Linked DNA regions of Macaca mulatta. The protein of the gene in region 3 binds, or shares a complex with, the protein of the main gene of each other region. Links are inferred from orthologs where the notes say so. Each region holds a gene or a part of one and is shown on either strand. Other genes may lie near its edges.

What was found.
Region 1: SNRPD2 (region 3) and DHX16 share a complex: the UniProt entries of both Homo sapiens proteins name them as parts of the minor spliceosome. The link is inferred for Macaca mulatta from reciprocal best matches to the Homo sapiens genes SNRPD2 and DHX16.
Region 2: SNRPD2 (region 3) and ARMC7 share a complex: the UniProt entries of both Homo sapiens proteins name them as parts of the minor spliceosome. The link is inferred for Macaca mulatta from reciprocal best matches to the Homo sapiens genes SNRPD2 and ARMC7.

What each region holds. Positions count from the first base shown.
Region 1 is NC_133409.1:152,370,627-152,380,565, reverse strand, and holds the start of DHX16 (pre-mRNA-splicing factor ATP-dependent RNA helicase DHX16), read right to left. Parts: upstream 5,932-9,939; coding exon 5,725-5,931; intron 4,322-5,724; coding exon 4,074-4,321; intron 3,991-4,073; coding exon 3,828-3,990; intron 3,488-3,827; coding exon 3,431-3,487; intron 1-3,430. UniProt on the Homo sapiens protein: Required for pre-mRNA splicing as a component of the spliceosome. Contributes to pre-mRNA splicing after spliceosome formation and prior to the first transesterification reaction.
Region 2 is NC_133421.1:84,789,452-84,799,390, reverse strand, and holds the start of ARMC7 (armadillo repeat-containing protein 7), read right to left. Parts: upstream 6,760-9,939; 5' UTR 6,687-6,759; coding exon 6,596-6,686; intron 6,513-6,595; coding exon 6,369-6,512; coding exon of another isoform or gene 6,337-6,368; exon of another isoform or gene 5,965-6,336; intron 5,664-5,964; exon of another isoform or gene 5,630-5,663; intron 3,441-5,629; exon of another isoform or gene 2,880-3,440; coding exon of another isoform or gene 2,866-2,879; exon of another isoform or gene 1,928-2,865; intron 1,822-1,927; exon of another isoform or gene 1,615-1,821; intron 1-1,614. UniProt on the Homo sapiens protein: As a component of the minor spliceosome, involved in the splicing of U12-type introns in pre-mRNAs.
Region 3 is NC_133424.1:58,223,906-58,233,844, reverse strand, and holds SNRPD2 (small nuclear ribonucleoprotein Sm D2), read left to right. Parts: upstream 1-4,437; 5' UTR 4,438-4,541; coding exon 4,542-4,543; exon of another isoform or gene 4,544-5,276; intron 5,277-5,752; exon of another isoform or gene 5,753-5,848; intron 5,849-6,368; exon of another isoform or gene 6,369-6,685; intron 6,686-6,912; exon of another isoform or gene 6,913-7,026; intron 7,027-7,539; exon of another isoform or gene 7,540-7,674; coding exon 7,675-7,854; intron 7,855-8,490; coding exon of another isoform or gene 8,491-8,516; coding exon 8,517-8,691; 3' UTR 8,692-8,791; downstream 8,792-9,939. Other genes in the region: QPCTL (glutaminyl-peptide cyclotransferase-like protein), read right to left, coding at 111-392, 2,876-3,019, 3,521-3,727. UniProt on the Homo sapiens protein: Plays a role in pre-mRNA splicing as a core component of the spliceosomal U1, U2, U4 and U5 small nuclear ribonucleoproteins (snRNPs), the building blocks of the spliceosome.

The DNA.
Region 1 (9,939 bases), on a different chromosome or scaffold from region 3:
GATTTTTTTTTAATATGGGTAAAAAATCAGAGCAATTTGAGCACTAAAAAGAATAATGATGTGAGATTATAAAATACTGAAAAATAAAAATTCTTGGATCCAACATGACACACACAAACAAAAAACAAGGGAAAAAAAATCTGTCTCCAGTGAAATGACTGTTACACCAAACTCCTTACTCTAAAAGTTGGTATTTAAAAGGAAACAAACATTTACCCTGGTTTTTAAGAAGGAACTGTAGCTTGTTCCTAGTTGTTAAGGAAAAGCTCTTCTTTATAGACAAATTCTAGCCAATACATGTAACAGGAATGACAGAATCAAAAAATCACCATTTTGCAATCCCCAACAAAATAACATGTTCAGGAAAGGATTACCAGTGGCTGCTAAAAGCATTCGATGAAAGGCTATTGGTAGAAAGGATATCAATACTAATAGATACACAACTGGATAGTATGTCCCCGTGATATGACATAATATGAAGTGCACATCACCGCCCAAGAAGTGTTCCTGCCACAACTGTTTAATCTGAGTGTAGACAAGCTTTAGACCCAATTGCCGCTTTAAAGAAAGCACAGGGCAGAGAAGTACTTAACACCATAAGATAAGGATCAGACAAATCCAGAATGTAGGACACTGCAAGGTGAGACAGAGAGAAAGAGAAACAAACTTAAAATCTAATAACCAAATGCAATGCATGAACCTTGACTGCATTGTTAGGAAAAAGCAGTCATTAAAGTTATTTTGGGGGTAATGAGGGAATCTTTGTTTGTACAGAGATCTTAGTCGATACGTAAGAATTGCTGTTCAACTTCCTGACTGTGACAAGAGCATTCTGATTTTAGAGGACAATGTCTTTATCCTTAGCAGGTACATACTGATGTACTTAGAGATAAAATGCTATGATGTCTAAGACTCTTTTAAATGATCTGAAAAGAACATACCACATTTACAAAGACAATGCAAATATTGCCCACAGTATTAACCATTTTTCAAACTGAATAGTGTATATGAGTGTTCTTTTTTCTATTCTTTCAACTTCCCTATGTGCTTAAATATTTTTGTAATTGAAAAAGAAAAATTACAGCTGGGCACAGTGGCTCACGCCTGTAATCCTAACACTTTGGGAGGCCGAGGGGGATGGATCACCTAAGGTCAGGAGTTTGAGATCAGACTGGCCAACATGGCGAAACTGCGTCTCTACTAAACATACAAAAGTAAGCCGGGCATGCTGGTGGATGTCTGTAGTCCCAGCTACTTGGGAGGTTGAGGCAGGAGAATCACTTGAACCCGGGAGGCAGAGGTTGCAGTGAGCTGAGATCATGCCACTGCACTCCAGCCTGGGCAACAGAACGAGACTCCGTCTCAAGAAAAAAAAAAGAAAGAAAAAAAAAGAAAAATTAAATTCAGGCCAAAACAGTACCACCACCACCACCACTACAACTGCATTGAGATGTCTCAGAAGCCTAACCACAGTCAATTTCAGGAAGAGATATGAGATAAATTGGTCAGGAGAGACCTCCAAGAGTAGGCCAGGCACACGGTGGCTCACGCCTGTAATCCTAGCACTTTGGGAAGCCGAGGCAGGTGGATCACCTGAAGTCAGGAGTTCAAGACCAGCCTGACCGACATGGAGAAACCCTGTCTCCACAGAATTAGCCAGGCGAGATAGCTCATGCCTATAATCCCAGCTACTCTGGAAGATGAGGCAGGAGAATCGCTTGAACCTGGGAGGCAGAGGTTGCAGTGAGCCAAGATCACGCCATTGTACTCCAGCCTGGGCAACAAGTGCAAAACTCTGTCTCAAAAAAATAAATAAATAAAAGGCTGGGTGTGGTGGCTCACGCCTGTAATCCTAGCACTTTGGGAGGCCGAGGTGGTCGGATCACGAGGTCAGGAGATCAAGATCATCCTGGCTAACACGGTGAAACCCTGTCTCTACTAAAAAAATACAAAACACATTAGCCGGGCGTGGTGGCAGGCGCCTGTAGTCCCAGCTACTCGGGAGGCTGAGGCAGGAGATTGGGATGAACCCGGGAGGCGGAGCTTGTAGCGAGCCAAGATCACACTTATGCACTCCAGCCTTGGGGACAGAGAGAGACTCCGTCTCAAAAAAATAAATAAAAATAAATAAATAAATAAATAAATAAAATTTAAAAAGTAAAAAGGGCCAGGCGTGGTGGCTCAGGCCTGTAATCCCAACACTTTGGAAGGCCAAGGCGGGCAGATCACAAAGTCAAGAGATCAAGACCATCCTGGCCAACATGATGAAACCCCCTCTCTACTAAGAATACAAAAAATTAGCCGAGTGTGGTGGTGCGGGTCTGTAGTCCCAGCTACTCGGGAGGCTGAGGCAGGAGAATCACTTGATTCCTCCACCAGGGAGGCAGAGGTTACAGTGAGCTGAGATCACGCCACCACACTCCAGCCTGGCAACAGAGTGAGACTCCACCTCAAAAATAAATAAATAAATAAAAATTAAAAATAAAACAAACAAAAAGAAGGCAGGGCACGGTGGCTCACGCTTATAATTCCAGCTCTTTGGGAGGCCAAGGTGGGTGGATCACAAGGTCAGGGGTTCGAGACCACCCTGGCCAACACGGTGAAACCTCGTCTCTACTAAAGATAAAAAAAAATTAGCCAGGTGTGGTGGTGTGCTTCTGTAATCCCAGCTACCCGGGAGGCAGAGGTTGCAGTGAGCCGAGATCGCGTCATTGCACTCCATCCTGGGCGACAGGACAGCGTGTGCCCCTCTCCATTTCAAAAAAAAGAAAAAAGGTAAGAAAAAAAAAAGGAGCTCGAAGTGTCTCAAAATTCTATTGGGGAATCTAAGTGTGACTTTACTTGACAAGACCAGGCCTTTGGAAAACAGCTTACCCTACCTAGTTTCATACCATAAAAAATCCAGTTTATGAATTATGAGGGCTCTGCCCCTGTCCAGTGAGAAGACACAGGGAGATCACAAAGCCATATAAGGGGTGCAAGAATTAGGTGGTGGGAAGGTATTTGGAGATGGTGTACCTAAGCTGAATGGTTAGCATATTCCTGTACAGTGGGACTGCCGCCCTGCCCTTGTCCTCCAGCAACCTTCTTGACAACATTCCAGCTGCCTCACATCTCATTAGGACTCAGGAATAGGGAAAGCTCACAACTTCATTCACTAATAGAGTATGTTTGATCCTAAAGTTAAGAGTCAAGGAGGACTTATGGGTAGCCTCCTTTCCCCTACAACTTAAGAGGGCTCCTTCCCTCGACAACATAAGTCTGTCCTCAGCTGGCTCCTGACAACCAAGCCCCTCCTCTAGAGACCTGACCACTCCATCAGCATCCACACCGTGCTTCCTCTGTATTCTCTCTCCCTATACGTAACCACTCTATCAGACGGTCTTCCCTTTTGTCTTCTGATCTTGGCTCCCTGGGCCCTGGGACTCACCATGGCCTTCCGGTCCTCCTCGGCCATCTTGAGGCGCTTCTGAGCTTCTTCATAAGCCTAGAAAAAAAAAAAAAACAAGAATGGAGGGGTGTGAGGCCAAAGAGCCCCCACACTGACAGCTGCTCCTCTTTAGAATCACAAGGATCATTCAGATGTACCCTAACACAAAAAATGTCCCCTCTCAGTGAGGGATCTGTACGATTGCAGATACAGTAGAGAGTTGCCTTAGCCACAGGATGCACAGGGCTTCTCTCACCTCATCTCTCCCCACAGAGGTGAACATCTCACTAGAGAAAGCCCCTTGTCTTCCCAGAGATCACCATCTCTGCAATCACAGCCAACCTCACATTTCACCCTGGGATCTTGGGGATTTACAGAACGTGCTGCTCCTGTTCACCTTCTTGTCTGACCGCTCCAGGACATTTCGAGTCCGATCCTTGTCCCGCTGTCGAACCCTCTCAGCAAAGGCATCACGCTCCTCCAGGTCCTGAAGGCGCTCACGCTCTGTCCGTTCCCACTCATCTTCTGACTCTGGCTTCTCTGTCTGCTGTTTACTCCCCCTGCAGCCCATCCAGGGGATTAAATAAGGGCATCGAGCACACTTCAGCCTGCCCCATCCTCCCTCGCCCTGCTTCTGACTTACCCTGTTTTCTTCTTCCCTTTCTCAGAAGCCTCTTCCTCCTCTTCTTCCTCCTCTTCCTCACGCTTCTTCCTGAGGTGTTTCCGCTTTTTACGTTTCTTCTGGAGGCTGCTTCCAGCCCTACTCACAGTCTCCTCACTGCTCTCTTCACTGTCTTCCAACAACCTATAAGATCGGTTCTTCTCCAGCAGGGCTCGGGCCTCTCGCTCTGCTGCCCGCGCTGGCTTTTCTACCACTGCCTTTCGTGGTACCTGTCAGTAGAGGGGAAGATAAGGAGGTCTGAGCAACTCCTGATCTCTGCCCTCCCACTTAGCTCTAGCTCTGTTCCTAATTTAAGCAATTACTTAGTCTCCCCCCGCCCGCCGAGATGGAGTCTTGGTCTGTCACCCGGAGCTGGAGTGCAATGGTGTGATCTCGGCTCACTTCAACCTCCACCTCCTAGGTTCAAGCAATTCTCCTGCCTCAGCCTCCCAAGTAGCTGGGATTACAGGCGCCTGCCACCACACCTGACTAATTTCTGTATTTTTAGTAGAGATGAGGTTTCACCATGTTGGCCAGGTTGGTCTCAAACTCCTGACCTCATGATCCAGTTGCCTGGGCCTCCCAAAGTGCTGGGATTACAGGCGTGAGCCACCGCACCCGGGCACAATTACTTAGTTTTAAACCAGCTAACCAGCCTTCATTCTGTCTTCCTCATGGCTTCACCCCATGTTTATCATCCTGAATGGGGCCCACAGCTTTTTGGCTTTTTTTACAGACAGGGTTTCACTCTGTCCCTCTTGGGCTCAAGTGATCCTCCCACCTCAGGCTCCTAAGTAGCTGGAAACACAGGTGCACACTACAACGCCCAATTAATTTTTAAATTTTTTGTAGGGAGGTTTCACTATGTTGCCCAGGCTGGTCTCGAACTCCTGGGCTCAAATGATCCTCCTGCCTCAGCCTTCTGGGGTGCTGGGATTACAGGTGTGAGCCACTGCACCGGGCCTCCTCTGTTAATTAAACGGCTGAAAGGAAGTTCAGAAGCTGAGGGGGGACGGGCAAGGTGGCTCACGCCTGTAATCCCAGCACTTTGCGGGGCTGAGAGAGGAGGACTGCTTGAGCTGAGGAGTTAGAGACCAGCCTGCGCAACACACCAAGGCCTCGTCTCTAAAAATAAAAATAAAAATGAAAGATATTAGCCGGGGGTGGTGGCGCATGCCCATAGTCCCAGCTACTGGGGAAGATGAGATGGGAGGGTCGCTTCAGCCAGGGAGATCGACGCTGTAGTGAGCCGTGATCTTATGACCGCACTCCAGCCTGGGCGACAGGGCGAGCGAGGCTGTGTCTCTCAAAAAAAAAAAAAAAGGAAAGAAAGAAAGAAAAAGAAAGAAATGCAGAAACTAAGATCCCTACTGAATCGCAATCTGCATTTTAACAAGGGCCCTGGATGCATGTTAAGAGTTCGAAAAACACCGTTCTATTGCGTTTAACCCGACACACCTAAGCCCTCCTCAATCTTCTCCACTGAGCTGGGCGTCCAGCAGCTAGCACAGTACCTAGGCGACAACGGACAAAGAATAAGTGCTTGTGAACTGAGCTTTCTTAACTCCTCGATGGACCGTTAGGCCAGCCTCATCGGGACAAATCACAGGACCCCTCCCCACCCTGCCGACACCTTGTTCCAGAGTCTCAGGGCGAAGTCCCGGGCCGGCCCACTGAGATCCAAAGTATCAGTGTCTCGTAGGCGCTGCACGAACTCCTCGGCCGACGTGCAGCGCTGTGCAGTACCGATCAGGAACTGGGCGACGTGCCGCTCGCTCAGCCCCAACACCGAGTGCAGCTCGTCCTGAACCCAGCGCTCCAGCCCCGCCGGCGTCGCCATGGCGACCCACGCTCCCTGCTCCCAGCCCTGAAGCGTCGGGCAGCCCCGTTCACTGCTGGGCCAGTCGGAGGCCTGGAGCCCTCGGCTGGAGCCTCAGCTTCGCAAGGCGGCTACCTTGGGACCTCTAGGATCAATTTCCGACATCCCAAAGCCGTCGTCCGGTACCGCAAAGCCCGGAAGGGGCTGCACTTTTTCCGGCCTCTAAGCACTACGGTGGCCGAGCGAGTTCAAACCTCGCGGAACCATGCCTGAAAGTTCGGAGTAATTCTTTTTTCTTCATTTCCGCCTCTATCCAGTTTCTCTGACGCCCCCTGATGGTCAGTCCGTGAGTGCTTCCCTAACGCATTCATTCAACAAGTGAAATCAATTTAATGGAGGCCTAATGTGTGCTCATTGCTTTCCGTCGCTGGGATCTAGCAGAGGACAAATCAAAAGTTCCTTACCAAATTTACATTTTGCGGTGGGGGAGGGACAGGATACATAATAAATAAAGTATGGAAGTTTTATAGCGCCAAAAACTCTGCAAAGTAAGGGACAACCGAAATTCTATTTCAGATTGGAAGATGGGGTCCATGCTCATGAAGCATATTAGCCGTGTTGGCCGGGCGCGGTGGCTCACGCCTGTAATCCCAGCACTTTGGGAAGCCAAGACGGGCAGATCACTTGAGGTCAGGAGTTCGAGGCCAGCCTGGCCAAGATGGCTAAACCCTGTCTCTACTAAAAATATAAAAATTAGCCGGGTGTGGTGGCGTGCGCCTGCAGCCCCAGGTACTCGGGAGGCTGAGGCAGGAGAATCGTTTGTACCTGCGAAGCGGAGCTTGCAGTGAACCGAGATCCCACCACTGCACTCCAGCCTGAGCGACAGAGGAAGACTCTGTCTCAAACAAACAAAAAAGTGACCTTTGCTAGGATTGGTTTGCCTGCAGCAGGAGTGAAGACAGGTCAGGCATAAGGGAAGACCTCTAGGCAGGAAGAAACTGGGGAACTGGGGAAAATTTTTTTTTTTTTTTTTTTTTTTTTTTTTTTTTTTTTTGAGACGGAGTCTCGCTCTGTCACCCAGGCTGGAGCACAGTGGCCGGATCTCAGCTCACTGCAAGCTCCGCCTCCCGGGTTCACGCCATTCTCCTGCCTCAGCCTCCCAAGTAGCTGGGACTACAGGCGCCCGCCACCTCGCCCGGCTAGTTTTTTGTACTTTTTCGTAGAGACGGGGTTTCACCGTATTAACCAGGATGGTCTCGATCTCCTGACCTTGTGATCCGCCCGTCTCGGCCTCCCAAAGTGCTGGGATTACAGGCTTGAGCCACCGCGCCCAGCCCAGGAAAATTGTTAAAGACAAAATCTCCAAACTAAGGAACAGGCAAACTGTTTTCTGCATTTTTGCTAACATCTTGAGAAAATCACTGGTGGCTGCTTATTTAAAAGTAAGCAAGGCCAGGTGCAGTGGCTCTTCCTATAATCCCAGCACTTTGGGAGGCTGAGGCAGGAGGATCTCTTGAGAACAGGGGTTTGAGACCAGCCTGGGCAACATGGTGAGACCCTGCCATCTCTACAAAAAATTAGCCAGGTGTGGAGGTGTGCATCTGTAGTCCCAGCTACTCTGGAGGCTGAGACAAGAGAATCTTTTATTTTTTATTTTTATTTTTTTGGAGACGGAGTCTTGCTCTGTTGCCCAGACTGGAGTGCAGAGGCACGATCTTGGCTCACTGCAACCTCCGCCTCCCAGGTTCAAGTGATTCTCCTGCCTCAGCCTCTGGAGTAGCTGGGATTACAGGCGCAATAGGCACGTGCCATCACGCCCTGCTTACTTTTGTATTTTTAGTAGAGACGGGATTTTACCATGTTGGTCAGGCTGGTCCCGAACTCCTGACCTCATGATCTGCCTGCCTCAGCCTCCCAAAGTGCTGGGATTACAGGTGTGAGCCACCGCGCCGGGCCTGAGACAGGAGAATCTCTTCAGCCCAGGAGCCAGAGATTGCAGTGAGCCGAGATCAGGCTCTCCAATCTAGGCGACAGACCAAGACTATGCCTCAAAAAAAAAAAAAAAAAAAAAAGCTGAATTTGTCTCTTGATGCTCTGCTGTCTGATTTGTTTGACCTTGCATCACACTTTTATGATTAATTGCAGTTACCAGGCATTACTGTTAGGAAATGAAACATTGTTCTTATTAATAGTCACAAGTGGATCTACATCACTGACTTTTTTTTTTTTTTTTTTTTTTTTTTGGAGAGGGAGTCTCAGAGTCTCACTCTGTCGCCCAGGCTGGAGTACAGTGGCGTGATCTTGGCCCACTGCAACCTCCACCTCTCAGGTTCAAGCGATTCTCCTGCCTCTGCTTCCTGAGTACCTGCGACTACAGGCACGTGCCACCACATCCAGCTAATTTTTTGTATTTTAGTAGAGACGGGGTTTCACCGTGTTGCCCAGGCTGGTCTCGAACTCCTCAGCTCAGGCAATCCACCCGCCTTGGCCTCCCAAAGTGTTAGGATTACAGGCGTGAGGCACCACGCCTGGCCTGACTTCTTGAATGCATTGTTTTCTGTTTCTGAGATGGACTGTGGGCACTCCTGGCATCTCAGAGCTTCCTAACTCTGTTTTCCTGGGTCACAACTGGAAACTTATTAAGACCTTTACCTAACAGGCTGCTAATATAATCATTCTGTTTCCTTCCCTTCCCAGACTTCCTCCCAACTGGCTGTCTTTTGACACTGGGCTCGTTCTCTTGCTAGTAAATTGAAACCCTTTGGCATATGCTTAAGATCAATTTGTCTGATACATTTTGTTTTATAGTAAAGGCCTGGAGCCTCCTCTGACCAGTCTGAGAGTAGCAACTTATAGTGGTAGAAGGACTCTAACTATTCAACCATATCTTTCTTAGCCTGGAGAGCTAACAACTAACAAATAAAAATACCTGATGAATAAAATATTGATGTTCCACATTTGTATAAGATACTCTTTGAAATGGGAAAATCCCGAATATCAACTATATGGGCACCAAAGCCATGCATTATCAAGGCTTTTTAAACCTTTTTTTTTTTTGAGATGGAATCTCGCTCTGTCGCCCAGGCTGGAGTGCAGTGGCGCGATCTCGGCTCACTGCAAGCTCCACCTCCTGGGTTCACGCCATTCTCTCGCCTCAGCCTCCTGAGTAACTGGGACTACAGGTGCCTGCCACCATGTCCGGCTAGCTTTTTGTATTTTTTTTTTTTTTTTTTTTTTTTTTTTGAGACGGAGTCTCGCTCTGTAGCCCAGGCTGGAGTGCAGTGGCCGGATCTCAGCTCACTGCAAGCTCCGCCTCCCGGGTTCAGGCCATTCTCCAGCCTCAGCCGCCCGAGTAGCTGGGACTACAGGCGCTGCCACCTCGCCCGGCTATTTTTTGTATTTCTTAGTAGAGACGGGGTTTCACTGTGTTAGCCAGGATGGTCTCGATCTCCTGACCTCGTGATCCGCCCATCTCGGCCTCCCAAAGTGCTGGGATTACAGGCTTGAGCCACCGCGCCCGGCCTGCTTTTTGTATTTTTTTGTATTTTTAGTAGAGATGGGGTTTCACCGTGTTAGCCAGGATGGTCTCGATCTCCTGACCTCATGATCCACCTGCCTCGGCCTCCCAAAGTGCTGGGATTACAGGCGTAAGCCACTGCGCCCAGTGATATAAAATCCATTGTCTTTCAGAGAACCTTTTCCAGGAAACCGACTCTTGTACATAGTTACTTCATTTTGCAGTAATTTCAGATTTACTATTCATAGCCCCAACTCTTGAAGTACATATCCCTGGATTAGCCACATGGGTTGTGTGTCATATACTACCTAGCTGCCTGCATGGCGCAGGCTTCTAAATCCTAGAATCCTTCAACTCGAAGTGTCCTCTGCAATATTTTAACCCTTTTCTTCTATTCATTCGTTGTCATTCATTCTAGAAATAATTTCGTGTCTACTAGTTGACAGGTATGGGATGTTGCAGTGAACCCAGCTGATGTAGTCAGTCCTCATGGCACTTCCAGTCTAGTGGAC
Region 2 (9,939 bases), on a different chromosome or scaffold from region 3:
CTGCATTCTCACCCTGGCCTGTGACAGCCAGACAAGGGGCAGCTGTCTACACCACAGCTTCCTTATTGATAAAATGAGCCATTTGGAGTAAACTCCTTCCTACCTTTCACTCCACAATCCTAGGAATTGGAACTCCTGTAAGGGCAGAAAAAGGGCCAAGGGAATAGCTTGTAGACTCTGACTGCTTTGGGTTTAAGTCTCAGGTCTGGTACTCTTTATTTTTTTGAGACGGAGTTTCACTCTTGTTGCCCAGGCTGGAGTGCAATGGTGCGATCTTGGCTCACCTCAACCCTGCTTCCTGGGTTCAAGCGATTCTCCTGCCTCAGCCTCCCGAGTAGCTGGGATTATAGGTGCGTACCACCGCGCCCAGCTAATTGTATTTTTAGTAGAGATGGGGTTTCTCCATGTTGGTCAGGTTGGTCTCAAACTCCCGACCTCTGGTGATCTGCCCACCTTGGCCTCCCAAAGTGCTGGGATTACAAGCATGAGCCACTGCGCCCGGCCTAGATCTGGTACTCTTTAAACCTTTGGCCAGCCCACGGAACCTCCCTAAGCCTCAAAGTCCTGATTGGAAAGAAGGCAGTGTAAGCACATCTACTTCAGTACTATCTCTAATGCACAAGAAGCAAGCGCCTGGCACCCAGTGGGTGCTCCCAAAGTGTGAGCTAATGCCATCCGTGATGGGGACACAACAGTACCGGGCCAGCAGCCAGGCTCTCCCCACCTAACATTGCCTGGGCACCCTCTGGGAGGCTGAGGATCGGCGTTCCTGTCATTCCGTGATGTTCTTCCAGAAGGTAAGAATTCCTGGAGCAGGGCCGGGCGCGGTGGCTCAAGCCTGTAATTCCAGCACTTTGGGAGGCCGAGACGGGCGGATCACGAGGTCAGGAGATCGAGACCATCCTGGCTAACACGGTGAAACCCCGTCTCTACTAAAAATACAAAAAAAAAAAAAAAAAAATAGCCGGGCGACGTGGCGGGCGCCTGTAGTCCCAGCTACTTGGGAGGCTGAGGCAGGAGAATGGCGTAAACCCAGGAGGCGGAGCTTGCAGTGAGCTGAGATCCGGCCACTGCACTCCAGCCTGGGCAGCAGAGCGAGACTCCGTCTCAAAAAAAAAAAAAAAAAAAAAAAAAGAATTCCTGGAGCAGATGAGTGGTTCCCTTGATAAGACGTTATCCCATCCCCCACCTCACCACTCTGGGAGAAGGGGCGACTGCTCACCCTCAAAGGGTTTTGGGTATCATTTGTCTTGGATGGCGACCAAGGGGATCCTGTCGAAGGCTGCAGACACTGACCCTAAAAGAGCACTGTAGTGCTTCATTCAATTCTCTCGATGTGAAGCAGCTGCTGGCACTGTCCCCATCTGACAGATGATTGGAGAAGAGCCCACACCCAGATGCCTGCCTGACCCCAAAGCCCAGCTCTCGTCCAACTCACTGTGCTGTTTGCCAACAAGCAGACATTTGTTTTGTTTGTTTTTGTAGGGACAGGGTTTTGCTATGTTGCCCAGGCTCCTCCCGAACTCCTGGGGACTCACGCAATCCTCTTGCTTCAGCCTCCCAGAATGCTGGGATTACAGGTATGAACCACCCTGCTCAACCAAGCAGATATGGGTTTTGGTTCTTTTTAAGAGACAGTCTCACTCTGTCACCCAGGCTGGAGTGCAGTGGCGTGACCTTGGCTCACTGAAATCTCTGTCTCCTGGTTCAAGTGACTCTTCTGCCTCAGCTTCCAAGCAGCTGGGACTACAGGTGCGCGCCACCATGCTCAGTTAATTTTTGTATTTTTAGTAGAGACGGGGTTTTGCCATGTTGGCCAGGCTGGTCTCAAACTGACCTTAAGTGATCCACCCGCCTCGGCCTCCCAAAGTGCTGGGATTACAGGTGTGAGCCACCTGAACCAACCCTGCTTAGGGGTGCTGCACCAAGTCATGGCCAGGACTCTACACTTACTAAGTGAAGATCCCTTGCTTTTCCTTCCCCTTCTCTCCTCCTCCCTAGGCCAAAAGGCCTAAGCACTCAAACCATGCAGACAGAAGCAAGGCCGGCTCGGGCTCAGGGAAGTCACAATCTCAGGGCTGCCACAGGGGATAAAAGACTCAAAGCTCCAAAGCGCAGCACGGAGCCTTCTCCGGAAACAGCAGAATAAGTGCCTGTCGGGGATCCCCAAGCAGAGACACTAAGAGAAAGGGAAACGATGCCAGTAAGAAAATACGCGGGGGCTCTCCTTCTCAGTTATGCATAATAAATATACGAGAAATTTCATCTGCAGAGGGTCCCACGGAGGGATTCCATGCTGAGAAAGCTACCGTGCTTGGGGCGGGGCGGGGCTTGCTCTGGCAGAAGAAGAGAAAAAAAGGAGGAAAAAACGGTTGGGAAAAGTAAAACTGGTGATAATGATCCCAACAATTCTAGATAAAGTAACAGCACAGAGGCGCAGATGCACAGACACACACACCCACACTTCTGCTCCCACAACCACCTGCGAGGCAGGCAAGGCAGGTGAGGAAACCACGCTCGGAGAAGGGACGGGAGTCAGCTAGGAATCAGCTGAAAAGTGGAGACGCTGGGGCTCAGTCACCCACGCGGGGAAGCTGCCCAGGGTGGCAAGAACCCAGGCCAGGCTCACGCCGCCCCCATAGCTCAGTGGACCCGGACCTCAGGGTACCCCTGTCCTGGGAAAGTTGCTTCCTGACCCTGAGGAAACGCCAGCAGGAAAGACCCCACTTGGTAAACATTTTTTGTGGGGACTGCTCTGTGACTTCCGCCAATTTTTCTCCAGGGTCAGCGGCTTGATTTGGAGGAGCTCTATTGCCCCCTGGTGGAGGTTTAGCCACATGCATCTGCAGGGGCCACAGTCACCATTCAGAAAGCAGCAGCTGTGTGTGGGGCAGAGGCATGAAAAGGGAGGGGACAGAGGACATTTTAGAGACCAACTTTTTAGAATATTTGTTTGGCATAATAATCTTCTAGAGGAGCTGGCATCACTCGGGGACCTGGGCAACTAGGGCTCCTGCGCTGGCTTGCCTTTAGCAGGCCCCACTCTGGTCCTCTGCAGGGCAGTAAGTCCAGGGAACTCACCCAAAGCCCAGGGCCGCCCTTCCCCTGTACCTGGAGCTCCAGGCCCTAAACCCGCTCCCACAGCCGCATGGGCCTCTTTCCTGGATCCTGACTCCCAAGGGTGAATGCCACCGTTGGTGTGTGCACTTCCAAACCCAGGGAGTGGCCAAGGGGCAGCTGTCTGTGGGGGTGTGAATCTGCCCACACATGTGCTGGAGCCCCCTCATGGAGAGAAGACCCTCATTTGTAGTCTAGTCCCAGGAACCTCCTCTCCTCTCCTCTTTAGAGGAGACCTGGGTGGTCTTTGAAAAATTTGAATCATACTTATAATAATGTATTTTTAAAAATGTGTTACTTGGGCCAGGCGTGGTGGCTCACGACTGTAACCCCAGCACTTTGGGAGGCTGAGGCGGGCGGATCACCTGAGGTCAGGAGTTTGAGGCCAGCCTGGCCAACATGATGAAACCCCATCTCTACTAAAAACACAAAAATTAGCCAGGCATGGTGGCGGGCGCCTGTAATCCCACCTGCTCGGGAGGTTGAAGCAGGAGAATTGCTTGAACCCAGGAGGCAGAGGTTGCAGTGAGCTGAGATCGCACCACCACATTCCAGCCTGGGTGACAGAGCAAGACTCCATCTCAAAAAATAAAATAAAATAAAATAGCCGGGCGCGGTGGCTCACGCCTGTAATCCCAGCACTTTGGGAGGCCGAGGCGGGCGGATCACAAGGTCAGGAGATCGAGACCACGGTGAAACCCCGTCTCTACTAAAAATACAAAAAATTAGCCAGGCGCGGTTGTGGGCGCCTGTAGTCCCAGCTACTCGGGAGGCTGAGGCAGGAGAATGGCGTGAACCCGGGAGGCGGAGCTTGCAGTGAGCCGAGATCGCGCCACTGCACTCCAGCCTGGGCGACAGAGCGAACTCCGTCTCAAAAAATAAATAAATAAATAAATAAATAAAATAAAATAAAATAAAATGTGTTACTTGATCCTATCAAGACTTTCAACCCAATTTCTAGATTATAGGAAATAAAGGGGATAAAGAAACAAACCACAAAGAGGCAATGAGACAAACCGGAAGGGGGAACATTTGCATTCCTGGTTGGGGCCTTCAAGAATCAGTGTTATGAAATGAGGGTCTGTTTAGGGTTACAAGCGATTTATCTCTTGGGGCCAGGAGTTCAAGACCAGTCTGGGCAAGACGGTGAGACCGTGTGTCGACAACAAATTAAAAAAAAAAAAAAAAAAAGCCGAGTTCGAGACCAGTCTGGGCAACACAGTGAGATCCTCTCGAAAACAAATTAAAAACAAAAAAAAGCCGGGCATGGTGGTGTCCACCTGTAGTCACAGCTACTCGGGAGGCTAAGGCAGGAAGACTGCTAGAGCCCAGAAGTTTAAATTTATGGTGAACTATGATCACACCACTGTACTCCAGCCTAAGTGACACAGTGAGACCCTATCTCAAAAAAAAGAAAAAGATTTAAGATAATTTATGTAGTGACTTCCTTCCAATGGGTATAATACATAATACGTAAAGAGGGGAAAGAAAGAGTAATTTTACAGTGGAGAAGCCTGACAAGACTTCAGCCAGGTGATCACGCGCGTGTTGCCCAGGCTGGAGTGCGGTGGCTATTTACAGGTGCAATCATGCAATCGTAGCACACTACAGCCTCAAACTCCTGGGCTCAAGCGATCCTCCTATCTGGGGCTACAGATGAGCACTGTGCATGGCTTGAAAAAGGGATTTTTGTTTGTTCTCAAAATTTTGTCTGCTTCAAACTATTTCCCACGGCCTAGATCTAAGCTCCGGCAAGCTCTGGTGCTGCTTAACTCTCTATCCTCTTTTTGTGCCATTCTCCACTTCACTATAACGATCCTGCCACATTCATCTTCCTTCTGGCTCCTTCCTGTTTTAAGGCCTTTGCCCATGCTGTGTCCCTGCTAAAATGCCTTTCTCATGATGGCCAAAACAGAAGTAACCACCACCTTCTACTGCTGTTTCTCATCACCCCATTTATTTGCTGCTGAGCATCATCTTTTTTGTTTGCTAACCACCTGTCCCCCCTACTAGAATGTAAGCTCCTGAGGGGCAAACACTTCCCCTAACTTGTTCACCATACTCCAGCATTTAGAGCAGTAGTTTACATATACGGTACATGCCCAGTAAATATCTGCCCAGTGAATAAATCAATAGGTCTTAAGATCATAACTACAAAAGAAGCCGTAAGTTACAGACTGCAAGCCATCTCTGCTTCTCCTGATATGAAAACACTAAATATGAGTTACTTTTGTTTCTAAGACAGATTCTCGTTCTGTCACCCAGGCTGGAGTACAGTGGCCCAATCCCAGCTCACTGCAGCCTCGTCCTCCAGGCTCAAGCAATCCTCCCACCTCAGCCTCCTGAGTAGCTGGGACACCACGCCAGACTAATTTTTTTTTTTTTTTTTTTTTTTTTAGCAGAGATGGGCTTTTGCCAGGCCGGTCTTGAACTCCGGGACTCAAGTGATCTGCCTGCTTCGGCCGCCCAAAGTGCTGACATTACAGGTGTGAGCCACCTCACCCACCTGAAATTGTTGTTGTTTTTTTTTTTGAGACGGAGTCTCGCTGTTGCCCAGGCTGGGGTGCAGTGGCGCCATCTCGGCTCACAGCAACCTCTGCCTACCGGGTTCAAGTGATTCTCCTGCCTCAGCCTCCCGAGTAGCTGGGATTACAGGCGCCCGCCACGCCCGGCTAATTTTTGTATTTTTAGTTAGAGACGGGGTTTCATCATGTTGGCCAGACTGGTCTCGAACTCCTGATCTCAGGTGATCCGCCTGCCTCGGGCTCCCAAAGTGCTGGGATTACAGGCGTGTGCCACCGCGCCTGGCTACAAAACTGCTCTTTTTAAAACATCTTTTTTTGAGACATGGTCTCACTCCGTCGCCCAGGCTGGAGTGCAGTGGCGCAGTCTCAGCTCACTTTGGCCTCTGCCTCCCGGACTCAAGCAATCCTCCTGCTTCGGCCTCCAGAGTAGCTGGGCCTACAGGTGCACACCACTGTGTGCGGCTAATTTTTGCTCCCGCTTAGCTGGGATTACAGGCACTCGCCACCATGCCCAGCTAATTTTTGTACTTTTAGTAGAGACGAGGTTTTGCCATGTTGGCCAGGCTGGTCTCGAACTCCTGACCTCAGGTGATCCCCCCGCCTCGGCTTCCCAAAGTGCTGGGATTACATGTGTGAGCCACCACGCCAGGCCCCAAGGACTCACTTGTAACTCACTTACCTCACCCCGGCCCATTTAGCCATCTAGCGAACGGGCCCAGCCCTTACCAATAGCAAACTCCACCAGGGTCTCGTTCTCCTCCGACAGCGAATCGAGAAATAAATCCAGGACCTGCAGCTGCCGCAGATACTCGTAGTTGCTGGGGTCATAAGCGAAGTTGGCGAGGTTGGCGAGGACTTGCTCCTTGGCGTCTGCAACGGGAAAGCGGCACTGGAGCCAGGTCCGGGCGGCGGTCACAGCCGACCCTGTCACCTGGTCCCACCGTGGCTCTCACCTTGGCTCTGGGTCTCCTGGAATTCCGTGACCAGCGCCTGCAGGTATCCCAAACGCCCGACGTGGGGGTCCAACTTCGGCTTCTGGGCCATGGCCGGCGTGACGGAGGACCCCCAGGGACGGGCGGGCGGGTGGGAAAGGTGCAGGGGGAAAGCCGAGCGAGACCCTCACCCACTCTCCACCTGTCTGGCGAGGGAAGACGCGGGGACGGCAAACGGGTTTCTTTCTTGGGTTCAGACTCTGCAGTAATTTGCAGCTGGAAATGGAATGTGGGGAGATGGGCCGGGGTCTCAGAATCCTGTAGGAGTTGGGTCTGAAAATCGAAATTGGGGCGCGGGAGACAGGGAACCGTCTGCGGGCTGGGGCTGGCGGAGTGGGTACTGGCGCCCAGCCCCCGGCTGCCGGGCTCGGTTCCAGGCTCCCGGCGGAAGCCGCGCTGTCCCCACCCTACAAGGCGCGGAAGGGGCGGGACGAGGCAGGCGAAGGGCGGGGCCGTCGCCGAACTCCTTGGCGCGCGTGCGCGGCGCGCTTTCGGTTTTCTGGCTGCGGAAGCTCTTTAGCCTGCGCTGGAACCCGCTGCGACACGCTTCGCCGAGGGAGGTATGGGCGTGGGTGGGTGTACTGCGAGGAGCAGCCTTGTCTCCCATATCCTATGTCCAGCTGCAAATTATTGCAAAATCTGAACGCAAGAAAGAAACCCACTTGCCGCCCCCGCCAACAGGAAGGCGGGTGAGGGCCTCTCTCGGCTTTCCCGCCCCACCTTTCCCACTCTCCCGCCCGGCCCCCCGGGTCCTCCGCCGCCCCGACGTGGCCCAGAAGCCGAAAGTGAGGCACCCATGTCGGGCGGCTGGAATGACGTGAGGAGCAACTCAGGAGCGCAACGGAGTCTGGCAGCACCCATGTTGGGAGGACGTCGAGGCAGAAGCACCTCCAGGATCCCCATGGCTGGCGGGGCGCCCCTTTAGAGCGCGGGCGTCAGCTCCTTACCCACCCCCATCAGTCTTTTGACCCTTTTGCAAAAAGCGTAGCGACCCCGACCCGTCCTCTATCCCAGCCCCGAGGTGAGTCCGCCACCTCTGGACAGAAATCAAAGGGGACGGGGTCATGTCCTGGTGCTTTTTGTCAGCCGGGTGGATGGCGCGCGCCCGGGGCAGCACCGGGGAGCCGGAGGAAGAGCCTTGTTTGTGGCGCTTTCGGGGCTTTCTGGATGCTGAAGCCCTTCGGCCGATTCCTTCTCGAGGATTCTCGGGAAGCAGGTGTGTGATGGATTACTACTCGTGGTTACAGGGAACAAAGCACCAGGGAAGGAGGTGGCCTTACTACACTCCCATCGCGTTTGACAACGTAGGGGTAGAGAGGTGGCTTAGGCTGTGAGTGTCCTGAGAATGCAAAAGTTGTTAATCTAATTGGAGTCACTTGTGTTAAAAAAACAGAACAAAAAAACCCGGACAGAGTCGGAGAAAACCATGACAAGAGGGTTCTCATGCATAAATATCTGATAATGAAAACTATCACAAAGATTCTGCAAAAACCCCAACCTTGCACAAAACATACTTTTGAATGGCCATCTGCCCAGCAACTTTCCTGTCCAACGTTGAACTGGTCACCCTTGTTACTAATTCTTCTACCTAAGGATAATTATCTCAAAACAATTATGTAATCCTATTTTTTCCCTTAAAGCCTTTCTTTCTTTACCTCCCTGAATACCCATATAGTTTACTATGGCATGGATACTACCTTTGCAATGCCCTATGCCCAAATAGATACTATTTTCTTTGAGAGAGCCTCTCCTATTAAGGTTGACAAAGGCAAGGACCATATCTTAAGTCCTGGGCCTGGGTGAAGGCAGAGTGGCCTACACGCTCCAGCCAGCTGCAGCCCCATTGGAAGCAGGCCTCACCTCTGAGGTTTCAGGTCCTTGTGGTCAGCCCCTGCCCTATGCACATCCTCTGACGCAGGAGTTTCGACCTTAGTCTGTGTGCCTAGGCCCGAGGACCCTCACCAAAGCCCTTTGGCTTCTATTGGGAGCCTCCGCAGCCTGGGAAGTGCATGTCACCCCAGGGTGCCCAAGGAGTTTTTCTGCCTCTTGCTGGACAGAGCAGCAAATAGGAGCCCAGAAATAGGGAGAATGGAAGTAAGCTCCATCCTCCCTGCCCGGGAACTGCCCCAGACCACCTCTAGAGGTTCGCAGGCCGTCAGCTAAGTGGGGATTGCAGAATCGATGGACCATCCCATCCTCCCTCATTGGTCTTCTCCCTTTTTTTTTTTTTTTTTTTTTTTTTTTGAGACGGAGTCTAGCTCTGTTGCCAGGCTGGAGTGCAGTGGCGATCTCGGCTCACTGCAACCTCTGCCTCCCGGGTTCAAGTGATTCTCCTGCCTCAGCCTCCCGAGTAGCTGGGATTACCAGCACGCACCACTGTGCCCAGCTAATTTTTGTATTTTTAGCAGAGACGGCGTTTCACCATGTTGGCCAGGACGGTCTCAATATCTTGACCTCGTGATCCACCTGCCTCAGCCTCTCAAAGTGCTGGGATTATAGGCATGAGCCACCATGCCCCGCCAGTCTTTTCCCTTTTTTTTTTTTTTTTTTTTTTTTTTTTTTTTGAGACGGAGTCTCGCTCTGTCGCCCAGGCTGGAGTGCAGTGGCCGGATCTCAGCTCACTGCAAGCTCCGCCTCCCGGGTTCATGCCATTCTCCGGCCTCAGCCTCCCGAGTAGCTGGGACTACAGGCGCCCGCCACCTCGCCCGGCTAGTTTTTTGTATTTCTTAATAGAGACGGGGTTTCACCGTGTTAGCCAGGATGGTTTCGATCTCCTGACCTCGTGATCCGCCCGTCTCAGCCTCCCAAAGTGCTGGGATTACAGGCTTGAGCCAATGCGCCCGGCCGTCTTTTCCCTTCTTAAGGCCTCAGGGAGGGGCCCTCCTTCTTGGGGTAGAATTCTCAGCCCTTGGTAGGTTTTACCTCTGCCCAGTCTCTGGCACACAGTAGATACTCAAGAAATATTTAGTGAAGGAATTCTGCCCAGAGATGATTGCTATTCTGCCTAGGAGCAGGTGAGATCAAAGTTTCCTGTGCAGAACACCCATTGATACCTTTTTTTTGGGGGGGGGCGGGGAATAAGGTCTCTCACCCAGGCTGGAGTGCAGTGGTGTGATCACAGCTCACTGCAACCTTGAACTTCCTGGCTCAAGGGATCCTCCCACCTCTGCCTCCTGAGTGGCTTGGACCACAGGCCTGTGCCACCATGTCCAGCTAATTTTAAAATTTTTTGGGCCGGGCGCGGTGGCTCAAACCTGTAATCCCAGCACTTTGGGAGGCCGAGATGGGCGGATCACGAGGTCAGG
Region 3 (9,939 bases):
CGGAGTAGAGTGGGAAGATGAGAGGGATGACAAATGTCCAGAAAAGGTAAGGTGGGGGCTTGGGAAAAGGTGGAGGTAGCCCACTACCCTCCCCAACTCCTGCTCCTTACCTGTTCTTTGGCCCTGCTCAGCTCCAGGTCAAGTGCCTGGGCCAGCTCCAGCAGCAGGGCACAGGGCACAGCCGAGTCTGTGGCCCCTACAAACGGGGTCGATCCGGGTGGGAAGAGCTTCGAGTCATAATGGCAGGCAAGGGTGAGGTGACGGGCAGCCCCCGGGTCCAGCGTGGCCACCACATTGCCAAAGTCCACTGGGCCCAGGGGCGTCGAGGCTGTGAAGGGATCCAGCTCCACGTGCCAACCTGCTGTCAGGGACCGCAGCGTGGCCTCCAGGAACTAGCGGCAAGAGAGAGGTGGGAGGGTGGACGGGGACTGGGGAGGAGGTGGGGAGAAGGGCCACGTGACCTGAGCCATGTAGAGCAGATGGGTTGACTCTAAAGTCCCACTCTGATTTAATGGATTTCTTTCTTTTTTATCTTTTTCTTTTTTTTTTTTTTTTGAGACAGAGTCTCGCTCTGTCACCCAGAAGGGAGTGTAGTGGCGCGATCTTGGCTCACTGCAAGCTCCGCCTCCTGGGTTCACGCCATTCTCCTGCCTCAGTCTCCTGAGTAGCTGGAACTACAGGTGCCCGCCACCATGCCCGGCTAATTTTTTGTATTTTTAGTAGAGACAGGGTTTCACCGTGTCAGCCAGGATGGTCTTGATCTCCTGACCTCGTGATCTGCCTGCTTCGGCCTCCCAAAGTGCTGGGATTACAGGCGTGAGCCACCGTGCCTGGCCTCTTTTTTTCTTTTTCTTTTTGAGATGGAGTCTTGCTCTGTCACCCAGGCTGGAGTGCAGTGGCTCGATCTCAGCTCACTGCAACCTCCGCCTCCTGGCTTCAAGTGATTTCTCCTGACTCAGCCTCCCGAGTAGCTGGGGTTACAGGCCCCCCCCACAACACCTGGCTATTTTTTGTACTTTTAGAAGAGATGAGGTTTCACAATGTTGGCCAGCCTGGTATCAAATTCCTGACCTCAAGTGATCTGCCTGCTTCAGCCTCCCAAAGTGCTGGGACTATAGGTGTGAGCCACTGTGCCCAGTCCCCTACTGTGATTAAAATCATTCCCTTGACAGTCCTGGTGAGTACCTACTGGGTGCCAGATGTTGGGGTGACCCCGCCTCTTGAAGCCAACAAGACTCATCACAGCTTACCCTTTTTTTTTTTTTTTTTTTTTTTTGAGACAGAGTCTCGCTCTGTCGCCCAGGCTGGAGTGCAGTGGCGCAATCTCGGCTCACTGCAAGCTCCGCCTCCCGGGTTCACGCCATTCTCCTGCCTCAGCCTCCTGAGTAGCTGGGACTACAGGCGCCCGCCACCGCGCCCGGCTAATTTTTTGTATTTTTAGTAGAAACGGGGTTTCACCGTGGTCTCTATCTCCTGACCTTGTGATCCGCCCGCCTCGGCCTCCCAAAGTGCTGGGATTACAGGCGTGAGCCACCGCGCCCGGCATAGCTTACCCTTAAATAGCTCTCACTGTGTGCTAAGCTCTCTTCTCGGAACCATAAAGGGGAGGGACTGCCGATACATGATCCCATTTTGCAGATGAGGAAATGGGCTCAGAGAGGTTAAGAAACTAGTTCGGGCTGGGCGCGGTGGCTCACGCCTGTAGTCCCAGAACTTTGGGGGTCTGAGGCAGGTGGATCACGAGGTCAGGCGTTCAACACCAGCCTGGCCAACATAGTGAAACCCCGTCTCTACTAAAAATACAAAAAAATTAGCCAGACGTGGTGGCGGGCACCTGTAATCCCAGCTACTCAGGAGGTTGAGGCAGGAGAATCACTTGAACCTGGTAAGTGGAGGTTGCCGTGAGCCGAGATTGCGCCACTGCACTCCAACCCAAGCAACAGTGTGAGACTCCGTCTCAAAAAAAAAAAAAAGAAAAGAAAAGAGAAAAGAAACAAGTCCAAGGTCACAATCTAAGTGGATGAGGTCGCACTGGGACTCAGGCAGTATTTAAATGACTCTTTTTTTTTTTTTTTTTTGAGATGGAGTCTTGCTCTGTCACCCATGCTGGGGTGCAGTGGAGCAATCTCAGCTCACTGAAGCCTCCGCCTCCCGGGTTCAAGTGATTCTCGTGCCTCAGCCTCCCAAGTAGCTGCGACTACAGTTACCCACCACCACGCCTGGCTAATTTTGTATTTTTAGTAGAGATGGGGTTTCACGATGTTGGCCAGGCTGGTCTCAAATTCCTGACCTCAAGTGATCTGCCTGTCTTGACCTCCCAAAGTGCTAGGATTACAGGTGTGAGCTGCTGTGCCTGGCCTTTAAATGACTCACATTACAGCACCAGGTTGGAGCCAACCTGCTTGGGTTCAACTCTAGGTCTATGATTTTCTAAACATTGGGTCTCACTATGTTGACTAGGCTAGTCTCGAAGTTCTCAGATGATTCCCCCACCTTGGCTTCCCAAAGTGCTGGGATTACAGGCATGAGCCAGTGCACCAGGCTAAGGTCTACTATTTATTATCTGTAGGATTTGTGCAATGTGTATAACCTCTCTGAGCCTCAATTTCCCCATCTGCATAATGAAGATCATATTGGTACCCACCTTAAAGGGCTGTCTGTTGCCTATGCCTAGCACATAGTAAGCTTTTGGTGGGGGCATTAAGGGGGGCAGTACAGCCTGGTGGTTTGTTTTCAGCATGGGAGTCTAGAGTCCGATTAACTCCAGTCATTGCCCCAGTTCCTCCTCTTAGCTCCTTTGGGATCTTGAACAGGATGCTTATTTCCCATTCCCTGGAGGGCTAGGGGGTCAGGGACTGGAGGTGGGTCCCTTTACCTTTCTGACTTGGAGATTTCCCGGGCTGCCTGGGGTTCGCACAACCAGCAGGGGGCGCAGATAAGTGCCCCAGAGACGCTGTGGGTCCAGTTGTCCCACCACCCTCCGCAGCCGGGCTTCGGGAAGGCTTCCGATCAACGGGACCTTGGGAAGGAGGTGGGATAGGGAAGGGAAGAATGAGAGCAACCCACCATTTCATCCCTACCCCGGGCGCCGTCACCCACAAGCAGCCCCGGGTCCTCTTTCTAATTTGCGGCCTCCAGCATCGGAGACTTCTAGGATAAATCCAAGGCTCAGAAAAAGTCCTTCCAAGACCATCCGGTCCAGCCTACCTCAAACTTGATGGGGAAATCGAGGCCCAGTGAGAGAGAGGGGAGATGGAGGAAGGGACTCTTCCAAATAGTTGACTAAAGGCGTAGAACCCTGAACCCCCTCGTCTTACTATTTCAGACCTTTCCTCATAAAAGGAAGCTACTGTTGTAAAACCAGCCCGAAGCCTTATTCCTTTGGTAAGGGTCATGCGCTCAGATGACGAAGACTGTGGCATCTGCGGTTAGGGCCGTACGCTAAAGCCAAGTCAACCCTGGGTAACAGCGGGGAGGGAATGAGGGTCCCCGCGGTGCCCGGGTCCCCGCCCAGCCTCACCCGCAGCTCCCGGCCCAGCGGCAGCTCCTCAGTCCTGCGGTGCCAGCCGCTCCAAATGGTGTAGAACGCCGAGCCCACGGCCAGCGCCAGCAACAGGGGCAAGAGCCGAACCCGCGGTAGCAGGCGGCGCTTCGGGGGCAAGAGTGGCTCCATAACGCCACGTTCCCCTAGCCGCAGGCGGGGCCGCCCGCGGCCCCCGGAACGCATGGCAGCTATGCCCTGAAACCTGTACCAGACCACGATTGAGTTTAGGCCCAGCCAAGTTCCACCCCATGGAATCAGTGGGCCAATAAGCAACAGCAGCGGCTGCACCTGCCCACCCCACAGCGAGCAGCGAAACCAATAAGAGCTACGGTCCTGAGGACACGCCTCCCGGCCTCCCTTGGGTATTGGGGTTGGTTCTTCTGAGAATGGCACGACCCAAAAGGGAGCGCAAAAGAGATAGGCTCCGCCTTAGCGGAGGGGGAAAGCCAATGAGCAGCGTTTGATCGTGGAAAATATTCAATCTCTCGGGCGCAGGTCCATGCCCCTCCCGGATGTAGGCAGGGGATTGGTGGCGCAGGGTCGGAAAGATCAGTAGATACGTCAATAACCCGTCCCAGAGGGAAGAGGGGCGGTGCCTGTCTCCGAAGCGAGGAGCGGATTGGCTTCAGCGGAGGCCGCGCCCCCGAAGTCACGGCCGGCGGGCATTTGGAAATAGTTTGTCATTTCCCTCCTTCAACCTGTACCATTCTTCAACGAAACGGTTTGAATCAGACCGCCTTTCCTTTTGTCTTCATTGTCATAAACATCTGCCCCGTGTGGTTCTGACTGGCCTCGAACCCCTATTCGAGGCTTTTATTCTTTCATTGTGCACCGTTGGTGGGCAATGCTATGGCAACAGGCCACGCCTCCACTTACTGGTTGGCTTTGCGCAGGCGCCAACGGAAGTGGGTCGCAGGAAGAGGAAGTCCCGCCTCTCTCGCCTCAGGCTGCAGCAACGCGGAGGAAACGGGAGTGAACGGAGAGCTTAGTGACCATCATGTGAGGCCGGGCTAGGCTTAGGCGGCGGGAAGGAGGTTGAGGGTGGAAATTTTGACCTATTGAGGGTGGGAAGGGTTGAGCAGAGAGCGGGGTGGGGGACAGGGGCAGATGTTTTAGGGATGGAGCGTCCTGCTTTTCTCCTGATGAGTTTGAGAACGGGCGTGGGGCCTTTGACGCATCGTGACTTCGGGAGAGGGGACAGCTTTATCAGATAACGCGCTGGGCTGGGCGCGGGGACTCATGCCTGTGATCCCAGCATTTTAGTAGGCCAAGGCGGGAGCATCGCTAGAACACAGGAGTTTCGAGACTACTCTAGGCAACATAGCGAGACCCCCGTCTCTACAAAAAAAAATTTTTTTTAATTATGAAAAACATATTTTAAACGATAACGGAGGGGGGTCCTAGATAATTAGTCCTATTGAAGTGAATGTTAAGGGGCAGCGATTTTACGAATACTGGGGGAGGCCGGGCGCGGTGGCTCAGGTTTGTAAATCCCGGCACTTTGGGAGGCCGAGGCGGGCAGATCACCTGAGGTCAGGAGTTTGAGACCAGCCTGGCCATTGTGGTGAAACCCCGTGTCTACCAAAAATACAAAAATTAGCCAGAAGTAGTGTCGGGCCCCTGTAATTCCAGCTACTTGGGAGGCTGAGGCCGGAGAATCGCTTGAACCCGGGAGACGGAGGTTGCAGTGAGCCGAGATTGCACCACTGCACACTTCCAGCCTGAGCGAAGAGTAAGACTCCATCTCAAAACGAAACAAAAGAAATCAAAACGAATACTGGGGAAGGGAAGTTAGGACTTTTAGAAATAATGATTTGAAATAAGGGACTTCTCCTGATCATTTGAGCTGGAGACAGATGCGTTTTCGACCTAATTCACAACTTAAAGGGATAACGAGTGATTGGCATGATTTTGCTCATTTATTAGTGCACCAAATATTACATTGAATGTTTATGTATCAGACACTGCTTAAGCCACATAGGATACATCAGTGAATGAAACCTTTTGTTCCCAAGGAAAAAAAAAATCTTTTTTTTTTTTTCCCGAGACATAGCCTTGCTCTGTTGCTCAGGCTGGAGTGCAATGGTGCGATCTCAGCTCACTGCAACCTCTGCCTCCCGAGTTGAAGCAATTCTCCTGCCTCAGCCTCCCGAGTTGCTAGGATTACAGGCACCCACCACCATGCCCAGCTGACTTTTATATTTTTAGTAGAGACCAGGTTTCGCCATGTTGGCCAACCTGGTCTCAAACTCCTGACCTCGAATGATCCACCTGCCTCGACCTTCCAAAGTGCTGGCATTACAGGCGTGAGCCACCGTGCCTGGCCGGGCGTGAGCCACCATGCCTGGCCGGGGTTTTACTTTCTACACTGAGATGGCGGGGGGGCATGGGAGGATTTTCTTTTGTTTGTTTGAGATGGAATCTCGCTCTGTCACCCAGATTGGAGTGTAGTAGCACGATCTCTGTCTCCTGGGTTCAAGTGATCTTCTTGCCTCAGCCTCCCAAGTAGCTAGGATTACAAGCATGCGCCACCATGCCCAGCGACTTTTTTTTTGGGGGTGGGGGATGGAGTCTTACTCTGTAACCCAAGCTGGAGTGCAGTGGTGTAATCTTGGCTCACTGCAACCTTCGCTGCTGGGGCTACAGCGATTCTCCTGCGTCATCCTCCTAAGTAGCTGGGACTAGAGGCATGCGCCACCACACCTCGTTAATTTTTTTGTATTTTTAGTAGAGACAGGGTTTCACCATGTTGCCCTGGGTGGTCTGGAACTCCTGAGCTCAGGCGATCCACCCCCCTTGGCCTCCCAAAGTGCTGGGATTACAGGCGTGAGCCATCACATGCAGCCTAATTTTTGTATTTTCTAATTTGTATTTATTTATTTTTTGAGACAGAGTCTCGCTCTGTTGCCCAGGCTGGAGTGCAGTGGCATGATCTCGCTTCACTGCAATCTCCGACTCCTGAGCTCAAGCGATTCTTCTGCCAGAACCTACCAAGTAGCTGAGATTACAGGCGTGCACCACCACGCCTGGCTAATTTTTTGTTGTTGTTTTTGTTTTGTTTGTATTTTTAGTAGAGATGGGTTTTCACCGTGTTGGCCAGGCTGGTCTCGAACTCCTGACGTCAAGTGATCCACCCGCCTTGTGAATCATCACCAGCTGGATGCCTAACAGACATTTTCTTTTTTTTTCTTTTCTTTTTTTTTTTTTTTTTTTTTGAGACGGAGTCTTGCTCTGTTGCCAGGGTGGAGTGCAGTGGCGCGATCTCAGCTCACCGCAACCTCTGCACCACAAAAGTGCTAGGATTACAGGCATGAGCTACCGTACCCAGCCCCTGGGAGGGCTTTGAAGAGTGACATGTTATGATTTAGGTTTTAGCACAGCCCCTCAGACCACTCTGTGGAGAACAGACTGTCAGGGAACATGGGTGGAGGCAGAGAGACCGGAAAGATTCCAGGTCAGAGATGACAGAGGCTGAGGCCATGGTAAGAAATGGCCACTTCCTACAGATTTATTGTAGGATGCAAGGGAAAAAGAGGAATCAAGTTGACAAAGAGTTTTTGCCCAGAGAACTAGAAGGCAGATGGGGAACACTGTGGATAGGGTAGGCTTCGGTGGTTGGGTGATCTGGATCCCGACCTGAGACATGCAGAGTTGAAAATGTCTGGCTGAGCGCGGTGGCTCACACCTGTAATCTCAGCACTTCGGGAGGTCGAGGCGGGTGGATCACGAGGTCAGGAAATCAAGACCATCCTGGCCAACGTGGTGAAACCCACTGTCTACTAAAAATACAAAAATTAGCTGGGCGTGGAGGTGGCGCGCGCCTGTAGTCCCAGCTACTCAGGAGGCTGAGGCAGGAGAATCGCTTGAACCCAGGAGGCAGAGGTTGCAGTGAGCTGAGATCGTGCCTCTGCACTCTAGCCTGGCAACAGAGCAAGACTCTGTCTCAAAAAAAAAAAAAAAAGAAAAGAAAAAGAAAATGTCTGTTAGGCATCCAGCTGGTGATACTCAGAAGGCCAAACAGGACGGATGTGATGGGACAAGGCTGGGGAGACATTGAGGCTGAGGCCCTGACCACCCATCCTCACAGCTCCAGCCTCTCTCACTTGTGGGTTCCATGTTTATCCATGCAGGAGCCTCCTCAACAAGCCCAAGAGTGAGATGACCCCAGAGGAGCTGCAGAAGCGAGAGGAGGAGGAATTTAACACGGGTCCACTCTCTGTGCTCACTCAGTCAGTCAAGAACAACACCCAAGTGCTCATCAACTGTCGCAACAATAAGAAACTCCTGGGCCGTGTGAAGGCCTTCGATAGGTGAGTGCTGGGTCCTGGGAGGTGTTCTGTGCAGGCCTAGAGAGGCTGCCCTAGCTCCAGTCTGAAGAGCTCAAAGACAGGTTTCTCAGACGCCTGGGGTGTATGGCCCAGGGTGGTGGCTCATGCCTGTAATTCCAGCACTTTGGGAGGCCAAGGCGGGTGGATCACCTGAGGTCAGGAGTTCGAGACTAGCCTGGCTAACATGGTGAAACGGCATCTCTATTAAAAATATAAAAACCGGGCGTGGTGGTGCACACCTGTATTCACAGCTACTCAGGAGGCCGAGGCACGAGAATTGCCTGAACCCAGGAGGCAGAGGTTGCGGCGAGCTGAAATCGCACCACTGCACTCCAGCCTGGGCAACAGAGCGACACTCTGTCTCAAAAAAAAAAAAGAAAAAAAAAGATAATATTCAACGACCTTGTGAGGAAGGTACTGTGATTGTCTTCCCTCTTAAAGATGAACAAACTGGCACAGAGAGGTGCAGTCCTTTGCCTCAGCCTCAACCTAAGGACTGGCAGAATTGGCCTTGGCAGCTTGGTCATCCAGCCTAGCACCTGCATCCTTCCCCAAGCCATGCTGCTGGAGGGGGCGAGCAGCAGGCAGCGCTGTCAGAGGCACCCCCCTCACACCCAGTGCCTCCCCTCCCTGTTCCCCACCAGGCACTGCAACATGGTGCTGGAGAACGTGAAGGAGATGTGGACTGAGGTCCCTAAGAGCGGCAAGGGCAAGAAGAAATCCAAGCCAGTCAACAAAGACCGCTACATCTCCAAGATGTTCCTGCGTGGGGACTCGGTCATCGTGGTCCTGCGGAACCCGCTCATCGCCGGCAAGTAGGGGCTGCCTATCCATCGACAGAACTCACTCTCTCGTCCTATGAAGACCATTGCCATTGGTGTTGAGAATAATAAAGCTCTGTGGTTTTTTTCTAGTGGTATGTGTTCCCAGAGCCTTGTGAGTGGGGTGGATTCAGGAGGGCTTGGGGGAGGCAGCTAATATCAAATTGAATGCTGGGACCAGGACCCGTGAGCAAGTGGAGAGGCCCTGGCTCTGCCCCATCGAGGCCTCACTTTCCCCCTCCGCAAAGCAAACAGGTTGGATGGAAATGAGCACCCAGTTGTGGCACTGGAGAATATTTTAGTTCTCCTGCTTTAATCTTTCTGAGCTTCGCCTTGTCACTCTGTTGCTCTCTTCTCTGCCTCTTAAAATGAATTGGCCTCGCTTGACCAAAATATCTTTTGGGGCCAGGCATGGTGGCTCACGCCTGTAATCCCAGTAGTTTGGGAGGCTGAGGCGGGCAAATCACCTGACATCGGGAATTCAAGACCAGCCTGGCCAACATGGTGAAATGCTGTCTCTACTAAAAATACAAAGATTGGCCAGGCGCAGTGGCTCACGCCTGTAATCCCAGCACTTTGGGAGGCCAAGGCGGGTGGATCACCTGAGCTCAGGAGTTCGAGACCAGCCTGGCCAACGTGGCGAAACCCCGTCTCTACTAAAAATACAAAATTAGCCAGGCATGGTGGCGTACACCTGTGGTCCCAGCTACTTGGGAGGCTGAAGCAGGAGGATAGCTTGAACCAGGAGACAGAGGTTGCACTGAGCTGAGGTTGCACCACTGCACTTCAGCCTGGGCAACAGATTCTAAGACTCCCTCTCAAAAAGAAAAAAAAAAGAGAAGAAAGCAGTCAGTAGCTAAATATTACTGCTAGTGATCCTGACTGACACTTGCTGAGCTGTTTAGGTATCAGGCCAGGCTTAACACTTTTCAAACATCCTCCCAACAGCTCTGGGGTGGGCCTGTTAATTTATTCTCCCCCTTTTCCAGAAGAAGGAACTGAGACACAGAGAGACGATGTCACTTTCCAGGGGCAAACCAGCCAGGAAGTGGTGGTACTGTGATTTAAACTCACCTCCTGAGCCTGTGGCTTCACCCCTGAGCTTTGCTGCCCCTCAAATTCAACTGCATTACCCTTGAGAGGAATTCTCTGACAAATATGGGGAGATAGATGGAGGTGGGAAAGGGAGGCGGGGAGGTGGTATATATATTGGGGGGGAGATAAGGAAGTTCCCTGTGTTGCTCTG